Oryctolagus cuniculus: one gene and its partners. The protein of the gene in region 5 interacts with the protein of the main gene of each other region in a biochemical or structural test. Links are inferred from orthologs where the notes say so. Each region holds a gene or a part of one and is shown on either strand. Other genes may lie near its edges.

Evidence for each region.
Region 1: the proteins of KPNA1 (region 5) and STAT1 form a complex in vitro, tested with the Homo sapiens proteins (2 studies listed by BioGRID). The link is inferred for Oryctolagus cuniculus from reciprocal best matches to the Homo sapiens genes KPNA1 and STAT1.
Region 2: the proteins of KPNA1 (region 5) and KPNB1 form a complex in vitro, tested with the Homo sapiens proteins (6 studies listed by BioGRID and IntAct, with this or other methods). The link is inferred for Oryctolagus cuniculus from reciprocal best matches to the Homo sapiens genes KPNA1 and KPNB1.
Region 3: the proteins of KPNA1 (region 5) and PKM form a complex in vitro, tested with the Homo sapiens proteins (2 studies listed by BioGRID). The link is inferred for Oryctolagus cuniculus from reciprocal best matches to the Homo sapiens genes KPNA1 and PKM.
Region 4: the proteins of KPNA1 (region 5) and NOSIP form a complex in vitro, tested with the Homo sapiens proteins (2 studies listed by BioGRID). The link is inferred for Oryctolagus cuniculus from reciprocal best matches to the Homo sapiens genes KPNA1 and NOSIP.

The regions. Positions count from the first base shown.
Region 1 is NC_091434.1:49,329,215-49,333,474, reverse strand, and holds part of STAT1 (signal transducer and activator of transcription 1-alpha/beta), read right to left. Parts: intron 3,684-4,260; coding exon 3,634-3,683; intron 2,976-3,633; coding exon 2,881-2,975; intron 2,010-2,880; coding exon 1,864-2,009; intron 754-1,863; coding exon 568-753; intron 1-567. UniProt on the Homo sapiens protein: Signal transducer and transcription activator that mediates cellular responses to interferons (IFNs), cytokine KITLG/SCF and other cytokines and other growth factors.
Region 2 is NC_091448.1:24,005,860-24,010,119, forward strand, and holds part of KPNB1 (importin subunit beta-1), read left to right. Parts: intron 1-458; coding exon 459-650; intron 651-2,103; coding exon 2,104-2,234; intron 2,235-4,260.
Region 3 is NC_091443.1:110,885,144-110,889,939, reverse strand, and holds the start of PKM (pyruvate kinase PKM), read right to left. Parts: upstream 2,994-4,796; coding exon 2,840-2,993; intron 2,523-2,839; coding exon 2,431-2,522; intron 1-2,430. UniProt on the Homo sapiens protein: Catalyzes the final rate-limiting step of glycolysis by mediating the transfer of a phosphoryl group from phosphoenolpyruvate (PEP) to ADP, generating ATP.
Region 4 is NC_091449.1:7,909,752-7,913,496, reverse strand, and holds the end of NOSIP (nitric oxide synthase-interacting protein), read right to left. Parts: intron 3,262-3,745; coding exon 3,180-3,261; intron 2,237-3,179; coding exon 2,077-2,236; intron 1,994-2,076; coding exon 1,875-1,993; intron 1,788-1,874; coding exon 1,600-1,787; intron 1,503-1,599; coding exon 1,394-1,502; intron 1,172-1,393; coding exon 1,100-1,171; 3' UTR 1,061-1,099; downstream 1-1,060. UniProt on the Homo sapiens protein: E3 ubiquitin-protein ligase that is essential for proper development of the forebrain, the eye, and the face. Catalyzes monoubiquitination of serine/threonine-protein phosphatase 2A (PP2A) catalytic subunit PPP2CA/PPP2CB.
Region 5 is NC_091435.1:78,653,413-78,657,672, forward strand, and holds part of KPNA1 (importin subunit alpha-5), read right to left. Parts: coding exon 4,149-4,260; intron 3,198-4,148; coding exon 3,109-3,197; intron 2,719-3,108; coding exon 2,619-2,718; intron 1,440-2,618; coding exon 1,276-1,439; intron 1-1,275. UniProt on the Homo sapiens protein: Functions in nuclear protein import as an adapter protein for nuclear receptor KPNB1. Binds specifically and directly to substrates containing either a simple or bipartite NLS motif.

The DNA of each region.
Region 1 (4,260 bases), on a different chromosome or scaffold from region 5:
AGATGGGTCTTACTGGGAACTTTCCCGAGCACAATTCAGGGCTGACCGTGGAAGCAGATCTGTGTTCTAAGACAGGTCTCCTCTTGATGGTAAGCAGTAATGACGACAGGATCTAGTGACTAACTGGGTCAGCCTGAATCAACCACTCCACGCCTCCCTGGCCTCCATTTCCTCAAGTTTAACACGAGCAAGTTGGCCACGTCCCCTACACTTTACCGCTTTCCACGTGGAAAAAGTGATGTGTAACAGATACACAAACCACAAATGGACATTTCCAACACCCCTAAAATAGGAGATTAACCATTCGTTTCTCACTGACTGTATCAGACCAAATAATGACTGTACTTCAGCTGCACTGAGCTCACACCACCCTGTGCATGCATGCATGCAGCCTGTAGCAGTTCAAAGGGAGTGGGGGGTTCATGTCACAGGCTGGGTGGAGCCTGTGCTGGCTCCTTCCCCTTGAAGACAAAGGCAGTGTGGCTGCTGACGCTGCCGGCGAGCCAGCCCTTCAGCACCAGGGGACCGGGGGACCGCGTGTGCTGCTCTCCTCGCAACCCCACTCACCTTCCTTTGGCCTGGAGTAATACTTCCCGAAGGCATGGTCCTTGTCAATATTTGGATACAGATACTTCAGGGGGTTCTCAGGAATATTCTCGGCAGCCATGACTTTGTAATTGCGGATGATATCAGGGAAAGTCACAGCAGAAAGTTCTTTCTTCGTGTAGGGCTCAACCGCATGGAAATAAGGTTCTAGAAAGGAGAAGAACCAAGTGAGTCCTGGGAAACATGCCAAACAAGAGAGCATAAAACACGGCACAGTTTGTGGATTTGACTGCACCCGGTACGAGCTAATCACACTCTAGGAGTTACAACACTGATGGAGGACAGTTTTATTCCTACATAAATTCTAATTCTTTCAAATAGGAAAAATAAAGGCAATCACTACTTTAAAACACAGCACGTCTCACTATCTGCTTAGATTTATGAATCTGGACAAAGCGGTCCACTGAGCAGCTTGTACAGCCTGCACCAAGGGTTTTCTACCTCTGAGTGCTTTGCTGGCTCCGTCTCTCAGCTGGTTCAGAAAATGAACTATCAGGGAAAAGAGAAGGCAGGAGCCTGCACCTGCCTAGACCATGATCTGATCCCAGCCCCGGCTTTTTCATCATGGGGAAAAAATATAAGCAGAACAAGAAAAGGATCCTGTCCTTTCACTTCTACCCACGCAAAGCACAGGAGTCGCTGGCACAGCCGGCTTGTCTAGTCTTCAAACACAGCGGACTCAAATCAACAAAACAGGGGCCGCTCTGCTGCTAACATTTTTCATCTGTGCTGTTCAGCCTTCTCCTCACAAATCCGCTTTATAATGCCAAGGTTTTCTGGAGTCGTTTAGCCAAGGACTCCTTCATCCAATTTAGGAGAAAGACAAATTTACAGCTGCAGCTCCTCCCGAGAGCCCCTGAGCACACACGCCCGCTCGGGGCGTGTAAATCGCCCGCGGGCTCTTCTCCCAAGGCCCGTCCTCCACCGTGCGTTCCACTCTGGGGTTACGCTAGGCGAGGTGGAAGCCGACATCATGCCCGTGGGGAACGCAACTCCTTCCAAGTCCTGGCTGCAGATGATGTTGAGTCACATCCTTGATCCACAGATAATAAACTGGACCAAAAGGAAAGGATTTGGCCTTGTCTGAAAAAAACCTATCACTTCCCCGATCTGTTCCAGGCGCGAGCCCCCACTGTCCACAGTGGTTTTGTAAACCATATGCAGGGGCTCAGCCGGGGGAGCGGGGGCTCTGCAATCCCACCGCGCGCCTGAGCTGTGAAGGAGGTCACAGAGTGAGCCCCACTGCCCTGCACTCACCGCCTCCGTTCTGGGACCGCTCCACCCACGTGAACGTGATGGCGCCTTCCCGGCTGCTCTCGCTGAACCGCAGCAGGAACGTGCCGGGCTGCTGGTCCTTCAGCAGGGCGCGCTCTCGCTCCTTGCTGATGAAGCCCATGATGCACCTGGACAAGCAGAGGTGGAGGGAGGGGCTCCGGTTCAATCACAGCTTTAACGTTCGTGTTCACTTTACAAACCAAGAAAGTGATGGGGACTTGACCAGAGACCAGAGGCCAGAAATGGCTGGATGGACAGTTTTTGCACGTCTTTCACATTTAAGGGCGCGTTTCACGTATGCTTGCACATGCTTAAGTAAAAAAGGAAACGCACCCATGAGCATGGCGTAAGTGGGATGAACAGGTGCTCAATGAACACATGCTGGACTCACGAGCCTTTTATTGCCACTTGGTGATCCTAAAAGCCACGAAAAGCTCTCAATTTATGCAACTTTTATTCTGGACAGGAAGACTTGAGTAAATTTGCATATTCTGGCCCTTTTGATCAATTTAAAGCTTTTGCTGAAATATGGCTGATCTTTAGAATAAGTTAGATAGAAACAATTTGCTAAGTTAAAAAGGGATTTTCCTTCTTCAGGGACAACATAGTAGGCCCTCAAGAAACTTTTGTTGCATGTACTTCAAAATGTGGACAAAGGAGGCATTTAAAGTATGCATTTCTGTTGGTGCAAAAATAATTTCAAAATCTATGCATAGCTTTTTCATACTTTATATTTTCCACATAGTATAAAAAACATTTCCTTTGCACTGAAGTTTTTCTGTATCAAAATCAAGTCAAACTTTTAATTCCACTTTCCCATGAACTTTTTCGAGTCCTTCCCATTAAACAAACACAAAGAAAAGTATCAGTTTAACCTCGTGAGGGTCCACCCATGAAGCCTGGAAGGGACAGGTCTCGTCAAGTAACGGAGACCAGCTTGGGGAAGGTTAGGTCGTGCAATGAACAGGTGTCAAGGGCACACCCATCGGGGGCTCTTACCCATCATTCCATAGACACAGCAGGTGCTTTTTAATCAGTTCTAGGATGTTTTCAATCCACAGCCAGAAGGAGAAATTTTTGTCACTTATATTTTCCTGAAAGTATACAAAGGTACACATTAGGAACAAAGAAATCCAAGATAGTAACTTGTCATGCCCCTCCCACTGCCCCTCCACCCCCGACCCGGGCCAGCTGCCAAAGACCCAAGTGTCCCCATCAAACCCAAAGAACCCACGCTGACGGATGGCTGCAGGGGCCCTCTCCCTTATCAGCCTTCGGACCTGGAGCTCTTCTCTCTTCCATTTCCCTGGGCTGGGATCCACTTCCCTCCACACCCAGTAGCAAAACAGTCAGGAATAATCTCCGGGCGTGGGGTGGGGGGACAGAAGCAGCAGCTGCCCCACACCAGGAAGGGCCAGGACAGCTGGCAGGCCACAGTCTGGGTGACCCCCGCAGAGTCTGAACCCTGTCTGCTCCTGCAAGGCCAGGGAAACTCACACAGCCCCAAGCACACAGTTCACATCAAGGGGCCCAAAACGCTGCCAGGCAAGGGGCTGAAGTGAGCTAACAGAAGGCTCATTTCGGGTGTGAAAAAATGTTATCACCCGGCAGGTGCTTCCTGTGAGGCTCTGGCTTGGAGACCAGCCTCCTGCACAGCGTGCCCTGGGGCTTGGAGGGCCTGGTGAGAATGCCAAGAAAAGCAAACAGTGAAGTAACCGCCCCCACAGAGCGCAACACTCGCCCGCTACCCACCTTGCAGAACCTCGTCCACGGAATAAGACCATCGAGGCCGGCATTAGGACCTGAGCAAACGAAAGCAAGCTTCGTCAGCACAAAGCAATCGAGTGTGCAGCTGCCCGGGACGGAGGGCTCTCGGACTTGGTCTCCAAGAAGAGAGCTACCACCCACCGAAGGGACGGTGCACGTCGATGGTTGACATTCTCAGACACGTTAGTGCTCAATCAGCTGGCCAGTGATCCCACGTGCCCAAGGGCATAAAGAAAATCCCCTAAAACATCTACTCGGCTTGGTTTCAATTTTTAATTAATTACTTTGAAAGGCAGAGAGGAGGGGGAAGGAGAGAAGGGAATGGGGAGGGAGAGGGTAGGGGAGAGGGAAAAGAGAGCAAGATGGTGAGCGCACTGAAGCGAGCTCCCCCTCGCCCCCACCCGCACCCATCCACTGGTTCGTTCTCCAAATGCCTACAACAGGCAAAGCTGGGCAGGCCAATCAGAGCTGGAACTCAATCTGGGCTCCCACACGAATGGCAGAAATGCAGCTACCTGCGCCATCACCACTGCCTCGAGCCCGCTAGCCGGCAGCTAGAATTGGGAGCACAGACAGAATTGAGGCCCGGTGCTCCGACACATACGCGCAAGT
Region 2 (4,260 bases), on a different chromosome or scaffold from region 5:
GCCATTCTCCACTGCTTTCCCAGGCACATAAGCAGGGAGATAGATGGGAAGTGGAGCAGCCAGGACTTGAACTAGCACCCATATGGAATGTCAGTGTCGCAGATGGCTTTATCTGCTACACCACAGTGATGGAGACAGAGATCTTCATCCATTGGTTCACTCCCCAAATGGCCACAACAGTTGGCTCTGGACCAGGCTGAAGCCATCCTGGGTATAGGGGCCCAAGGAGTTGGGCCATCCTCAACTGCCTTCCCAGGAGCGTTAGCAAGGAGATGGATTAGAAGTGAAGCAGCCAAGACTGAAACCAGTGCCTGTATATGGGAAGCTGGTATTAGGTGGTGGTGACAGCAGCTTAAGTTGTGCCACAAAACTAGCCCCAACTTTATATTTATTGAGAGACAGAGTCAACATGAGTCTTAATCTTTGTTTTGTTTTGCTAATAACTGTTGTATTTGTAGGCTATGCCCACCCTCATAGAATTAATGAAAGACCCAAGTGTAGTTGTTCGAGATACAACTGCGTGGACTGTGGGCAGAATTTGTGAACTGCTTCCTGAAGCTGCCATCAATGATGTCTACTTGGCTCCCCTGCTACAGTGTCTGATTGAGGGCCTCAGTGCTGAACCCAGAGTGGCATCAAATGTGTGCTGGGTAAGGGGTTTTTTCCTGGTGAGAGAAAAGGAGTTTGCCTGAACCATGGCAAGAAAGTGGGAGGTGAGGGGTGAGGGGGAGAAATGGACCTACCTCACTGGAAGACTTTTTTGGAATAGCATCTCCTTTTTGATTTCCTCAGTTAAAGTGCGGGGGAGATGCCACCCACAGGAGCCAGTGGGAGCTGTTGACTCATGGCAACTGGCTCCCGAACGACTTAGAGCAGTCGTAGTAACGCAGCAGAGAAACTCTGTGGAGTTGCTTTTCTTTCTTGAATTGCTTGGGGAGAAGAAATTTTGATTAAGGGTGAGATTTGTTGGCTACAAGAAGCATCATTGCTGAGAAGAGAGAAAGGGAAGGAAGGTAGGCGGCCTAAACGCTGAGTCAGTGTGGGCTGCATGTAATTGATTGGGGCTTTTGAGGGAATGGGAGAGAAGTGCTAATGAGGGAGGAGTGGGGCAGGAGCCTTCCTGTACATGAGAGGTGAGATGGCAGCCCCTGGGGTAGGTGAAGGTTTCTGTTCCCTCGGAATCTCCCCAAGGGGTGGCGCCTGGGCCGCCAGCGGCTGCTTTCCCAGGCGCATTAGCAGGGAGCTGGATCAGAAGTGGAGGAGTCGGGACTTGAAACAGCACTCACTTGGGATGCCAGCATCCCAGGCAGCTGTTTAACTCACCCTGCCACAATGCTGGCCCTTGAATATTTTATTTTAAAGATACCTGTCAAATGTTAAGTTGTCTTGAGATGATCTTTTTTTAAAAAAAAAAAATTTTATTTGAAAGTCAGAGGAGAGGCAGAGAGAGAGAGAGTGTCTTCCATCTGATGGTTCACTCCTCAGTTGGCCTCAATGACCAGAGCTGCACCAATCCGAAGCCAGGAGCTTCTTCCTGGTCTCCCACATGGGTGCAGCGGCCCAAGGACTTGGGCCATCTTCTGCTTTCCCAGGCCATAGCAGAGTGCTGGATTGGAAGTGGAGCAGCTGGGTCTTGAACCGGCGCCTGTATGGGATGCCGGCGCTTCAGGCCAGGGTATTAACCCACTGTGCCACACTGCTGGCCCTTTGAGATGACCTTAACAGAAACATTGAAGATTCACTAGCTTTTATTCATTCTGAGGTCAATTGGAAAGAAACACTACCCAAGATGGCTTAGTTAGTGGGGGAGAGACAGAGTACTTCCCTCTGCTGGTTCACTCCCCAGATGACTGCAATGGCTGGGGCTTGACCAGACTGAAGCCAAGAGTTTCATCTGGGTCTGTGCTGTGGGTGGCAGGGGCCTAAACACTTGGCATTTCCGAGGACATTAAGAAGCTGGATCAGAAGTGGAGCAGCCAGGGCTCCAGTTGGTGCCCACATGGCATGACTGCACTGCAGGCAGTGGCTGTGTGCACCATGCCGCAACCCTGTCCCCTGGAGTGGGGTTTGTTTCAAGACTGATACTAAATCTCTGCGTTTCAGGCTTTCTCCAGCCTGGCTGAAGCTGCTTATGAGGCTGCAGATGTAGCTGATGATCAGGAGGAACCAGCCACCTATTGCTTATCTTCTTCATTTGAACTCATAGTTCAGAAGCTCCTGGAGACCACAGACAGGTAACTGATCTCCTGTACAGAAAGGTGTGATGTCTGGGTGCCCAACTCTGTTACACTGTGTGGAGAATGCGCAGCCTAATCACAGCAACATGAGACAGGAGCGCACTGTATCTGCTCTAGAGAGGTTGAAAGTACACTTAAGAAATTACTTGTTAGGCCGGCGCCGCGGCTCACTAGGCTAATCCTCCACCTTGCAGTGCCGGCACACTGGGTTCTAGTCCCCATCGGGGCGCCGGATTCTGTCCCGGTTGCCCCTCTTCCAGGCCAGCTCTCTGCTGTGGCCAGGGAGTGCAGTGGAGGATGGCCCAAGTACTTAGGCCCTGCACCCCATGGGAGACCAGGATAAGTACCTGGCTCCTGCCATCGGATCAGCGTGATGCGCCAGCTGCAGCACGCCGGCCGTGGCGGCCATTGGAGGGTGAACCAACGGCAAAGGAAGACCTTCCTCTCTGTCTCTCTCTCTCACTGTCCACTCTGCCTGTCAAAAAAAAAAAAAAAAGAAAAAAAGAAAAAAAGAGAAGAAAGAAATTACTTGTTTACAGGGGTGGGGAATGGCTAGCCCATGGACATATAAGTTCCATGAAATCATTTGGTCTGTACCTGCCAGGGCAACCACAGATGGGACTTGAAATTCAATAAATCTAGTTATTTATTAGCAAACTAATTTTTTAAGCAGGCTAATTTTTAAGTTGATAATTTTTAATTGTCTTCTAATGATATTACAAATACCCAGTGGCCCTTAACAGAAAAAAAGGGTTCTCTACTCCGAGTTTAGGTAAGAGTTGGGGTGGGGACTTGACCTAGCAGTTAGGATGCTGTATTCCGTATTGGAGCGCCTGGGTTTGAGTTTGATGCCTGGCTCGCTGTGGCTCCTGATTTCCAGCTTTCTGCTAAGGTGGTTCCTGAGATGCGGAAGTAATTGGGTTCTTACTGCCGTTTAAATGGGAGGCCTAGATTGAGTCCTTGGCTCCTGGACAAATCAAGATAGTGTCTGGCTCTCTACGAGAGTATACCCCACTTTTCTTCATTCACCAAGAGATGTCATTTTATACAATCTTGCACAGAGCAATGGGGAAGGACTAGTTAAACACGGAAGAATTTATGTCTGGTCCCTTCCTGATGGTTTACTTTTCAGTTCACACAAAACACAAAGATTAGAGGTTGTCCCTAAATTAGGATTCCATTACACATTTCAGAAAGCCCTATTTCAGACCTTTTGAGAGATACAGAGAGCTCCCAATCTGCTAGTTCACCCCAAATGCCCACAGTGGACAGGGCTGAAGCTGGAACCTGGAAGTGCAACCCAGATGCCCCACATGGGTGGCAGGAGCTTCACTGCGTGTGTGAACACCGCTGCCTTCCCGCATGTGCATGAGCAGGCAGCTGGATCCAGGAGCTAGAACTGGGGATGGAACCCAAGGACTCCAGGGTGCAACATGGGCACTTAAAACATTAATTTATGTGTTTGAAAGTCAAAATTAGAGAGGGAGAGACGTCGGGAGAGAGAGATCTTCTGTCAGCTGGTTCACTGCTTAAATGAACTCAGCAGCCTGGACTGGGCCAGGCCAAAGCCAGGAGCAAGGAGCTTCATCCGGTTTTCCCACATGAGAAGGGAGAGTAGGAGTGCTTTTCCAGGCACTTTAGCTTTTTTTTTTTTTTTTTTTTTTTTTGACAGGCAGAGGTTTTTTTTAGACAGTGAGAGAGACACAGAAAGGTCTTCCTTTTTCCGTTGGTTCACCCTCCAAATGGCTGCTGCAGCCGGCGCGCTGCGCCGATCTGAAACTAGAAACCAGGTGCCTCCTCCTGGTCTCCCATGCGGGTGCAGGGCCCAAGCACTTGGGCCATCCTCCACTGCCTTCCCGGGCCACAGCAGAGAGCTGGCCTGGAAGAGGAGCAACCATGACTAGAACCTGGGGTACCGGTGCCACAGGGGGAGGATTAGCCAAGTAGCCGCGTTGTCGGCCCTTTTTTTATTTGAGAGGCAGAGAGAACCTTCAATTTACTAGTTCACTCCCCAAATGGCTGC
Region 3 (4,796 bases), on a different chromosome or scaffold from region 5:
ATCCGATGGCAGGAGCCAGGTGCTTCTCCTGGTCTCCCATGCAGGTGCAGGGCCCAAGCATTTGGGCCATCCTCCACTGCACTCCCTGGCCACAGCAGAGAGCTGGCCTGGAAGAGGGGCAACCGGGACAGGATCCGGCGCCCCAACCGGGACTAGAACCCGGTGTGCCGCCACCGCAAGGTGGAGGATTAGCCCAGTGAGCCGCAGCGCCGGCCCCCATCCTCGTATTCTTGACCAGGCCTTCCTGAGATTTCTGATTTACTGTTTCCCACAAAGAATCAGATCTCAGCTTAATTTTTCAATCTTCTATTTCATCAAGCCATGGTCTTACAAATTCTTTTTCTTTAACTTTTTTTTAAAGATTTATTTATTGCCGGTGCCACGGCTTCTGGTTCTAGAACGAGTTTTGAAGCTCTCCTGATTATCACACTCTATACTGATCTTGATTTCCATGAAAAAAAGTCAGGGCTGAGTGTGGCACAGCAGTCAAGAATCCACTGAAGACACGCCTGAGTCCCAGGTGCACTTCCGATCCAGCCTCCTGACAACACAGTGCATGGACAGAGCAGGTGATGGTTCAAGTGCCTGGGTCCCTGCCTGCCTTGTACAGAGACCCAGAGTGAGTTCCGGACTCCCAGCTCTGGCCTGGTTCAGCTCCAGCTGCTATGGACATTTGGGAAGATCAGAGATGTCGCTCTGCCTCTACCTTTCAAACAATTCTAAAAAATTATGTCAGGTCATGTGTCTGTAAAATTTCTACTTTTATGGAACTTGAAGTTTTTTGGTGAGTGACAGAAAATACTTTTTGCAACTCAAAGTATATAAACATGCCATTTTTGGTCTTGGGGATGTAAAATCTTATGTCATAAACATTCTAAATGGTTGACAGGGTGCTGGCTGGGGTGGGGCTGGGCTGCTTATTATCTGCGGAGTGGTGCCCACCCCACCATTACTGCTGCCCTGTGGAAGGCTCTAAATTTAGATTATGTCAGAGTCAGTTCTGGCCAGCCTGGCGTTGTGGAACTGCATGTTCAGCAAGAACAGATGGTCCACATGAGCTGCCAGGGCGGGGGCTAGGGACACGGTCAGAGCTGCCAGAGACAAGGTGTTGGACTGAGCACTGGAGACAGCACCTGGGATGTGTGCATCCCATACCGGAGGGCCTGGGGTTGAGTCCTGGTTCTCGTCACGCCTTGGATGGCAGCAGGTGACGGGGCTCAAGTGTGCGGGCCCCTGCCACCCATGCGGGAGACCTGAACCGAGTCCTGCCTCCTGGCTGCTGCAGGCATTTGGAGAATAAATCAGTGGGAAAATCTGTTTGTTTTTCAAATAGAATTAAATAAATTAAAAAAACAAAAGCCCAGACACAGAAGCAGACGTGCCTCTGCCAGGTGAGGAGGGGGAAGGCGGTCACGTCAGTCCACACCTCAGCACCTCAGGCCCGCTTCCCAGATGCTGACCCTGGAAGCTCACCTGGGCCTGACCCTAAACCACCAGAGGCACTGCGCTTCTTTCCTTTTTCATCCCACTTTTAATCTGGGAATAAGAATCAGAAGCACAGACCCACGCCCTCGTGCGACAGGTGCAGCCCTTGCCATTTCCGAGTGGGGCGGTGTTGTTTTACTGGTGGAGGGAGCGCGCAGCGGCTGAAAGATCAGCGCCTCCAAATCTATTTCTGCTCCTCACCCGCAGGCAGGGCCCACAGCAGACTCCGGCAGCAGGGGTCAAAGGTGAACTGATCCTCACTGCTGCCTTGGCCCTCTGGGCAGGGTGACACACGCAGCAATTCCTGGTGAGAGCCCAGGATGCGCCTCAGGCTGCCCGAGGTGCCTGCTGGCCCTGGCTGGGCCCCAGAGTTAGGGGCTGCAGCATTTACCATGGAGAGTCAAGTCTCATGTTTCCAGAAAGCAAGAATTCACCCCGCGGTTTGCACTGCCCGAGGGCTTATTTTTAGTCCAAACTTAACACCAGCTTCCAAATGCCAGAGAGTGACCCTCACCACTGACCTCAGAGGAGGAAAGGACAGAGGGCAAGAGAGGGCAACGTCAGCCTGCCCATTACTCCTCTACCAATGCCGAAATGAAGCCCCACGACTGCGGCCCCTCAGGGAACCCCAGCACCCTCAGAGCGCCGCTTCCTGCCACGGCCAACAGCTCCAGCGCGAACACTCGCCGGCTGGTTTTCTGTCCGTGCAGCAGAACCTCTGGAGAGGGCGAGGCTGGGGGCACAGTGCTGACGGGCGGGGCACTCGCCTGCCAGAGTGGAAACCTCTGGGCGCCTGCCCAGCTCTCTGCAGCCTGAACTGGGCCAGAACCAAGCTGCAGAGAGCTCAGGGCAGGAGCCTAGGGCTGGGACACCCAGACTGGAATCTGTGGAGCCCACCCTAAGTGAACAAGGCACTCCTCCCTGTCGCCTACAGCCGAGGCTCACCTCGTGAGTCCCGTGGGAGAAGTTCATGCGCGCCACGTTCATCCCAGACTTGATCATCTCCTTCAGCGTCTCCACCGATCGGGAGGCAGGGCCTGTTACATATTGCGGCACAGCGTCAGTGACTCAAAGAAACGCTTCCTCGGTTTCCTCCCCCAAATAACGCAAGTCTTTCAGAGAGCACACTCACGGCCGTCGATGTGCTAGCCTGCTTTCTTGATTTAGGGGAACACCTCTCCCCACGCCCTGCACAGGTCTGTAGCCCCCTACAGTCAGGAAAGCCCAGGTTAAGAGCTTGGCCAGCCCTCTGCCCATCTTGGTGGCATAGGCCTAGGCCTCTGAGCTGGGGACGCTCACCCCCAGCAGAACGCACAATGCGCGCTCCTTCCCGGACTCGGTCCCCGAGGCTCACCGATGGTACAGATGATGCCCGTGTTGCGGGCCGTGATGGGCGCGGAGTCGATGTCCAACCGGCACATGTGCTCCAGGAATGTGTCCGCCATGGCTGCGTGCAGCTGCTGCGTCTGGATGAAGGCAGACCCGGCTTCACTGTGGGACTTCGACATGGCTTCTGAGGTTGTGGGTCCCGGGAGACTGGAGGCAGAGACAGGACTGATCAGAGGCTGACACACCGCCTGGAGCAGGAGGCCGTCTCCTGCTGACACATTACCTTAAAGAGCACGCTGGTCACATGAGCACTCCTCAAAATGGGCAAAGGGCTCATGTGAACCTAAGCAACCAGGAAAGACCTCAGCAAACAAAGTCTCCTCTCCAGTGCGGGGACTTCCCAGGGACCCACCGCCAGCAGGGCTCTGCCACACCACGCTTGCCGGCATTCTCACCAGCCCACCCACGAGAGGATGCTGTCACCGACCTTCCTCCACTACACAAGTAGCTGACTCCTGGCCTGCTACAGAGGAATTCTAGATCTTTGCAGGAGAAGCTGTGTCTCTGGCACAGGGCATCCACAGGCTTCTAAACACTCCTGCCCCACAGCCAAAGTGATGCCCTGGCTGCGGAGACTGACACCGTCTGCCTAGCCGTCCTCCTAGGTTGTGACTAACCCAGAGCACCACCTGTGTCTGTTGCTCTACTCACACTGGGCCTGAGAACAGCCCTGAGCCCACTGTTGGCCAGCAACAACAAAACCAGGCCCTGAACAGGAAGCAGAAGTCCAGTGGGAAAACTAGACACACAATCTCCCTCCCAGGAGTCTGTACCCAGAAAAACCACATCTACTTTTGGTCAGAGGAATTTAGGACATGCAAAGCAATTCATATACAAGTAAGGATAACCACGATGGCACAGATGTGGTTCTAAAGTTATATTAACAGGATGGGTGCAACACAGCAAATGATGTTTTCCCCGAATGATGCTGGATGCGCCATCTCAACTCCGTTTGCAAGTCTGACCTCATGAGATAAAGACCATCGTTCCAGGCAATTAACCAGCCCAGGCCACAACCCTTCGCTGCACTTCACTACTGACTTCCAGCTAAACTCACTCAGCCACTTGGCTGGTTCAGGGACAAAGACTCGGGAGAAGCTCCTGGGCAGTAACAGCTATCATGTAACGATGTGAACTCAGACCCAGGCTGCTCCTTCTACACCCTGGAGCTTAAAGGCGTCAACCTGGGCTCAGAAACAGGTCCCTCTTCAGCCTGCCCTTCTGCTAAACCTCAGGCCCCCAAATCAAGGCATCCCGTGTACAAGGGCACGTAAAAAAGTTCACAGAAAATGGCATTACAGTTTGCTTTAGGACAAGAGCCCTCTGAAGCCCGGGGTGGGCCTGTGCTCCAGCAGCGGGGCTGCTGCCTGCACCCCACACCGCGGCACCAGGTTTGAGACCAGCCACTCTGCGCCTGCGCCTTCTTCCTGCAAATGAGCACCCCAGATGGCTGCAGATGATGGCTGAGGGGCTTGGGTCCCTGCCACCATACAGGAAAGGGAGCACGCAGGTGGAAGCTCGCTCTCTCTGCCTTTCAAATAAAAATCAGATTTTGAAAGTCATGCAGTTTTTCCTAACAGGCATTTCCTGTGAACTTTTCAAAGGCCCTTGGTAAAGGATCCTCATCGGTGTCTTCCACCCTCTCTGGCCCTGTGGGCTCTCTGGGTGGCTCCCTGGATAGAGCATGCAGCTAGGGCCGCCTGTGCCAGCTCCAAGGCCTGGTGAAGGCGCAGAGCCGTGGGACTGGGCGTCAGGGCTATGGTCTCAACTACAGAGCCTGCAGCTGCAAAAACGGGGATGGAGAGCACCAGCTGACCACGCCAGGCGGCAGAGGCCCCGTTCCCTTCAGTGTGCGCTACCTAACTCAGCAACGCACCACAAGGCACCGTCCGAGCATGTCAGTCCTCTCCTCCTAGGTCTTG
Region 4 (3,745 bases), on a different chromosome or scaffold from region 5:
CACCGCGCACACCTCCAGGGCCACCAAGGATCCGTTGCGGGTCCTACAGTCTGCCTTTCCAGACGGAATCCACCCCCCCCCCCTTTTTTGAAAAGATTTATTTGAAAGTCAAAGTCACACAGAGAGGAGAGGCAGACAGCGAGCGGTCTTCATCCGCTGGTTCACTCCCCAATTGGCCGTAATGGCCAGGGCTGCTCCAATCTGAAGCCAGGAGGCAGGAGCTTCTTCCAGGTCTCCCACGCAGGGACAGGGAGCTGGATGGGAAGAGGAGCAGCTCGGACTCGAACTGACACCCATATGGGATGCTGGCACGGCAGGCGCCGGCCGCTAAATCTCCTTCTTAGGCGACCCCACACCTCCCGACTCTCGCGCGCGCCATCGGCTGCCGCTGGGGCAGTGCGCTGTGCGGAGCGCGCCCGCCGCAGCCGGCGCTGCGTTTCACTCTCGCTTCCTCTCCTTGTCACGCCGCGGCCTCCGACCACAGCAGACCTATTTTCCGAGCAGACCCTGCCCCACCTCGCGGCCAGCAAGGCCACTGTTTCCAATAAAGGCGTGGGAGTTACGTGGGGGGGGGGGGCAGCCAGGCCATGCCGGGAGGACCGTTCGTGTCCAGGTGGGGCAGAGAGGGGGCGGCCTGTGCCACGCGTGAACGCGGCTGCGGCTCTCGGGGCTGGGCAAGGACTCGCGTGGGTGAGGGGTCTCGGGAAAGCCTGTGGCCGGGAATGCTCAGGAACACGGGGGGGGGGGGGGGGGGACGTGGGCACTGGGTACAAAGCGGTGGGCGGGGGCTTGCTGGGGCCCGCGAGGGGCGTGTGGGGAGCGGGGGAGACGGACACGCGGGAGGGGTGCCCGGCCAGAGCTGCGTATCTCCCGGGGCATCTCGGGTGCCCGGGCTCGGCCAGCCTCGGGGTCCTGGCGGAGGTCAGGGTGGGTTTCTGCCTGGCCGCTCCCCCCGGGGGTCAACGCCGTGCGTCCGCCTTGGGGTCAGACTCCGCGGGAGCACCCGGGCATCCCGGCCCCTCCTCGGGCCCCGCCCGCGAAGAAAGGCGCCACGCGCGACTGCGCTCCCAGCCGTTTATTCGTGGGTCTCCCCTCGCACTCAGGCCTGCATCACCGGCCGCGACTTCTCCGCCTGCAGCTTCACCCCGGAGCCCGCGAAGCCGGTGCCGCCCTGGGAAGGGAGACAGCGGGGTGAGGGCGCGGCGGGGCGGGGCGGGGAGGGTCCTACGCAGGTCGAGATGACTGGGGGGGATCGCTGCGGACAGGTCTCCGTCAGAAGGGGCGGCCGGGGCAGGGGCGGGGCCTGTGGAGAGGCGGCGGGAGGGCGGAGCCTGGGGCAGGGGCGGGGCCCGGGCGGGAGGGCGGAGTCTTGAGAGGGGGCGGGGCAGCCCACCCGCTGCAGCACGATGATGTCACGCTCGGTGAGCCGGTCTCCGTTCACGGGGTCCACCATGTCCTTCCGAATCAGCTTCTCCACGCACTCCAGCGTGACCACGGCCCCCCTGCGGGACGGGGCGGGGCGGGGTCGCAGGTCAGGGCCCCGCCGGCCCCCCGCCACGCCCCTCGCCCGGCCCGGGCTCCCCGGCTCCCCGGGCTCACGAGGGCCGCAGCACGGCGCACGGCGTCGCGTTGCTCAGGCTGTCGCGGGTCACGGCGCACACGTAGCGCTCGCTGCGCGTGATGAGCCCCACGCGGTCCACCGAGTCGTCCAGCAGCGTGAAGCGCACGGGTGTCAGGTCGGACATGCGCAGCGGCTTCCCGGACATGGGGCAGGTCACGGTGCGGGACTGCGGGCGGGGAGGTCGGGTCAGGGCGCGGCGGATGAGGTGCGGGGACGCGCGGGCGCGGGGACACCGAGGGGCGGCCCCTCTCACCGGCTTCTCCAGCTTCGTGGCCTTGGCCTCGGGGGTCAGGGACGGGACCCAGAAGCTGGGCAGCGCCTTCTCCTTGTCCTGGCCCGGGGGCCCCTCGCTGGGCCCCGCTTGTGCATTCTCTGTGGGAAAGCGGGGGCTCGGGTGCCGGCTCGGGGAAGCGCGGGCTCGGGCTCCTCCCGCCCGCCAGCCCACTCCCTGCCACCTGCGCCGGGCCCCGCGGCGGCCTTGGACGTGAAGGGGTTGAGGGGCCGGCTCACGATGGCCGCCTCCTTCTCCAGGAAGCCCCGCACTTGGTCCTGCGCTGCAGCGCGCCGCAGCTGCCGCTGCTCCTCCCGCTGGGCGCCCCGCTGCTTCTCGTAGGCCTGCGGGCGGGGCGAGGGCGCGAGAGGCTGAGGCCCAGGACGCCCCGGCGCGGGCTGGGGGCTGCAGACTCCCCAGTTCCCCAGGGCGGGGCCGCTCAGGGAAGGCAGCTGAGGCACTGCGGGGGGATGGGGAATCTGTGCCTCCTCCCCTACTGCAGGACGCCAGGCACTCCTCGCTGGGCTAGTCCGGGACTGCGCGTCGTGCCCTAGAGCCAGAGTGCCAGGGCGGAAGCCCCGACTCCGTCACCTCTGCGCCGGCCGCGGCCGCGGGGGAACTCTCCCAGCCTCGGCTTCTCCCTCTGCGAAATGGGCTCACAGTGGCGGAGGCGCCCTGCCTGTTGAGTGCTGAGTGCTGAGTGCATGTCTGTGCGGGTGCCGGGAAAACTTTGTGCACAGAATTCAAGCTAAGAGTGCTTTGGTGAACCCCCCGGGCCGTCTCCCTAACTCCCACTTCTTTCAAAGACTTCTTAGAGGAGTGGGTCTCAAAATGCAGATGGTTCGTCCTTGGAGGCCGGGCCTGGCTCTGAGTAAACACCTCGGGAATTCTTGCTGTGTGCATCTCCCACGTGCCCTGCAGTGCCTTCTAATGTGGCCCCGGGAGCCCATTTCACAGATGCTAAAACTGAGGCCCAGAGAAATGAAGACAGGGCCACTCATCCAGCAAGTCTTTGCCAGGGGCCTAGGACTGCAAGGTGGGCAACACTCGGCCCCGCCCCTGGGGTGGAGCCCGTCAGACAGCCCCAAGCAGGTACTGCTGTGACACAGCCCGAGGGAGGGAGGAGGGATGGTGACTAGGGCAGGCCCTGGGGGCCCTGGACGCAGCAGCTGAAATCAACCAGGGGAAGTGGGAGGGGAACAGCCCGGCAAAGGCCCCGGCGGAAGAGGAACCGAGACGGGAGGGCGCGGGGCGCGGGACGCTCAGCATCGGAGCCGCCCCCCTCACCTTCATCTGTCGGGCGATCTCCTTCTTCTGGTGCAGGATGTACTCCAGGATGGCCTCACGCTCATACAGGTAGCCGTCGGGGCTGCCAAGGGAAGGCGGGATGAGGAGAGCCCGGCCCTGGCCCAGGCGCACAGGCAGGGGCTCGGGGTCAGCTCCCTGCCCGGGCACCGCCGACCAGCACGGGAGGGCAGCCAAGGGCTCCCTCGCAGGCCTGGGCTGCGGAACCCTGGGCACGGCCCTCGAAGGCCCTGGAATGTCCTGTCCCTTGGGTGACCGGAGAGGAAGGCCGGCCATGCGGCGGTCAGCCGGTCCCCTGGGACCTGGGCGCCGAGGCCGGGGTGCGCGTCTCTGGGGCTGCAGAAGCCAGCAGCCACGCGACTGCGCTGGGAGGAGCCGCGGAGGCTCCGGCCCGGGTCTCCTCACTCAGCCCCGTGCGCTCCTTTCCCGCTGTTGATTTTTATCTGGGTCCACCTTAAGCAGCGGTCAGTGGCTGGGGACGCGAGGAGCCATCTGCTCTCATCACGCTCCTGTGGGACATACTGCTACCCCAGTATCTCATTGAGCTC
Region 5 (4,260 bases):
ATAGGATTTAAGGGCAGAAAGGTACTATCAAGATGATGGAATTTATTTTTGGAGAAAAACTTGCAAATCTTTCCTAATAATCTTTCCCAGATCAAGTGGATTTCAAATTTACCCTCACTTTCTTTAACACAGGTCTCATGTCCTTATTACCTGGTTTTTTGTGATAATGGAGAGCAACAGTGATTATTCGCACAATTTTAAGTTATATAAATTGTCTAGTCTTCACAGACTAGACACTTAAACTACCTTGAAAAATCAAGGTAGAATTCATACTTCAATACTGAACTTTTTCTACTAAAGCTACTATGTCTTCACTGGTCAAAAAACCATCCATATGAAGCTTTTGTTATACATTTGAAGAAAGAAATTAAGTCCTAATGTCAAGCTAAATAATGCCCTTTAACTTTCCTTCAAGGTCCTATTTGCTCTCTCCTCTAACGAGATTGATTACCTTCTCAAAAGTGTAGCAGTTCCTTCTTACTTAATATCTGATAACTAAAAAATAAATGGTTTAAAGCATGTATGAACCTAATGACTAAAGAATACAATAACTTTCCAGATTTTAAATGCTATACTACTGAGTCCTGAACCATCATGTTGCTTCTAATCCACAACAGCACAATGTTACTAATCTGCACCCAGCCTATGGTCAACTATAAACCCAAAGTCTTGTATTTTGTGCATTAAATTTATGTAACCCAATCCACATGCCACATGTGAGACAATGTCCCCTGGCATCTGCTTTGCACTTCAATTAAATTTTATGCTCCTTATAATTGTAGATTTCCTTCATTAAATTATTTTATTTTTTCTTCTATTGGACTACCTGAAAATCTGAAACAGTCTCAAATCATTTACATTACTAGCAAATCTTCCATTACATCATCAAAGGCACCCCAAAGAGAATAAAATAAGATTAAATGTCTGACACTAATCTAAATGCTAAAGAAGACAGAATAGGAATGACAATTTTTAGTGGCAATATGCCTTTTGATACCGAGTGGTTGGTCTGAAGTTATCCAGTATGAGCTGAAACTATACAGATCAGTGTTCCAAATGTTTCCACTGAAGGACTGCTAGAGCAGAAACCTGAGAGATTCTTTAAAACCAAAATACCAAAACAATCTGATATGGACATAAACAAGTAACAAAAGAACACTAGCCTAAAAGCACTATTTATCAGTATAATATACAACTAATATTTAATTATTAGCAAATAGAAAACTAGTAGCATGGGAGAAGGGGCAAGCAGGCATTTTCTGAATGATATCTTACATCAGTAGCTCCACAAGTCTCCTACACACTCCTGCATCAATGACTGCTTGAATTTTATCATTGGGTCCATCTGATAGATATGAAAGGGCCCAGCAGGCATCAGCCAGTACATCAGTGTCACTGACAAACAGTAACCAGGAAAGCACATTCAGACAGGGGGAAACCTGTGAAAGGAAGATAGAATGATTATGAAATTTAACAGGATAAAAGACAAAGGAGATGAAACACTCCAGAAGGCAGTAAGTCATACACTAGGTGATTTACACTTCTGGAAATGGAGCAGCAAGTGACTAAGTGGCATTTCCATCCTTAGGAATGCTGCCAGTGGTTTGCAGCTTTTTTAAAGTTTTTAAGCTTTTTATTCAGTGGGAGAAATGCATAGGAGAGTGCAGGCCCCATCTAAGAGAGGGAAATTTGGATTCATACTATGTACCAGGAACCAGCCATGTGGAGGAGCATGCAGGCCAGGAAATGTAGAGCAGCCAGGGCCCACAATGGCAAAAAGTCCCCCCACCCCCTGAAAAAAAGGCTGGGCCCACCGTGTCCCAAGCCTTTAATCCACGTCCAAAGGCAAGTCTGATTGGCTGGTGGTCACACATGTGTGGCCAGGTAGGGGCATGAGGTCACACAGGGGCATGGTGAAGGCGTGGTCTTCCAGTTAACAAACCTGATCGATTTTATCCTATATACCTGCCTACATCATTACCCTCTCAGAAACTCCATTCTCTTAATCCTAAGGGATGTTGAAGGGCACAGAATCATATCTTCTATAGCTGCTTCTTGCTTATGAGGGGCGTAGTACAGGCCCAGCCTGTCCGGGTCTGGAAGTCTCCACCTTCTTATCTAACAAATTTTGCAGCTTATTATGATGAGGCAGTCAAAGCTCAAGAAAAGTAATTTCAGAAGCAAATTCTTACAATGAGGTTCTTCCTCAAAATGCACTATTTGTAAGCTGAAGAGGTAAAGGAACTAGGAAACTTGGTATTTTAGATACCAAGTTTGTTACAAAGAAAAAAATGCTAGGGGGTTTTAAGATGAATTCAGGGATTTTTAAAACAGAGAAAAAATAATTCCAAATAAAAACAAATAAATACAAAGAGTCCGCCTTTTCTAGAAACTGAAAAACCTTTTTATTATTTTAAATTTTACCAAAATAATCTTTCGATAAACATTAATACTGGATGAGGCTGGTGCTGTGGCGTAGTGGGTACAGCCACTGTCTGCAGTGCTAGCATCTCATATGGGCACCGGTTTAAGTCCTGGCTGCACTTTCGAACACTAATATTGGTTGCCATATTATTCAATTGCATTTTTTCTGCCTAATTTCCCACGCAAATCCTCACCTTTGCAAATTCTGGTGGTGGACTCTTCCCTCTACAGAGATTAGACAATGCCCATACTGCATTCCGGGTCATGGTCAGGCGGTTTTGCTTTGAAAATAACCTAAAAGCAAGATATATATATATATATGTAGATACAGATAGATATAGATATATATATATACATATATAATATATATGATACTAAATTATGTAATAGACATTAATTCTCTGATGGCATAAAATATAAACACTATTTAATGTTACTGATAAACAGATATCCTCAAATAGTTTTCCTGTGGAATAACTTATTTAATTATAATGTAACTAATTCAGAATTTTGGCACTGGAATAAAACAGGTGTTTGAACAAATGATCTGAACAAGTTAACGAGAAAACATCTGGAAAGAAAATTAACAGGAAGCCCAAAATGATTTCCAAAGAGATACTACTTTCTGAGGAATTCCATATCTTTATTTTTCAAAAGAAAGAAAAGCAAAAAGAAAGAACTTACTGCAAAAGAGGAGGAAGGATATTGCAGTCCAAGACATAATCCCTGCACATAGTACTATCTCCAGCAATGTTGCCTAGAGCCCAGACTGCCTGTGAAAGAATTATTAATTAAGGACAGTTACATAGTTTAATTCCTTCATAAGTCTTTCAAAAAATATTCCAGCATATCACAATAACATCTGTTAAAGTTATAGAGTCGTTAACCAACATTTTATACATGGATTATTAATATTCCCCAATTCATTCATCAAGGAACCAAATGAAACAGTTGTGGAACTGAGATAAGATGATCAATAATATTCTAAATTTCACAATAAACAGAGGGGTAAAGAACCATTTTTTACAATCTTCATCTTAGGGATGAATCCCCTTGCCTAAGCAGCCATTCCATATAACCCTCGACTGTTAGAAGTCAGAAATTCAAATGGCTTACTCAGCTCATTAAGCATGTAAACACGGAAGAGCAATCAAATCCAGATAACTTTATTAAACTTTTATGGGTAACAGATGTAATTATTTTTATCATAATGATGGTTCCATTTGTATTATCAAACTGTGCACTATAAATATATGCAATTCACTCTATGTCAAGGATACCTTAATAAAGCTGTAAAAAAAAATGCCCATTTAGCTGTAATTTATCCCCATTAACTTCATAAAGTTGGCAATAACCAGAAATAATTCACGTTTTCTATGACTTCCTGTACACAATGGCAAAAATCTTCCACTTCAATCAACACTAACACTAGAGATTCCTGCAAGAAAAAGTTCTATTAATAACTGCTTACGTGGTCTAAAAAAGCATTATCTATAGGATTAAGGAATTCAGGGATGGATTGGAAAAATGATTTTATATGCCTAGGAGAAACTGTGTGCAGAGTCACAAAGAAATTTTCTATTTTTGGTTAAGTTAGATTTCTAAAAAAGTCCCTGTGACTAACCAAGGATTTAATGTGGCCAAGTGGTGAAACCTGGGCCCTGAGTATGACTGAAGGGAAAATTTTTATTCTTTCATCTGCTTATCTTTGTTTCACTTCTTACCTGTTCCTGGACATCTTCAAACTCTGAGCTTAGCAACTCTATGAAGATAGGCACAGCTCCTGCCTGAATCACAATCCGGGTCTGAAGAGAATTTCCTGAAGCAATATTTGTC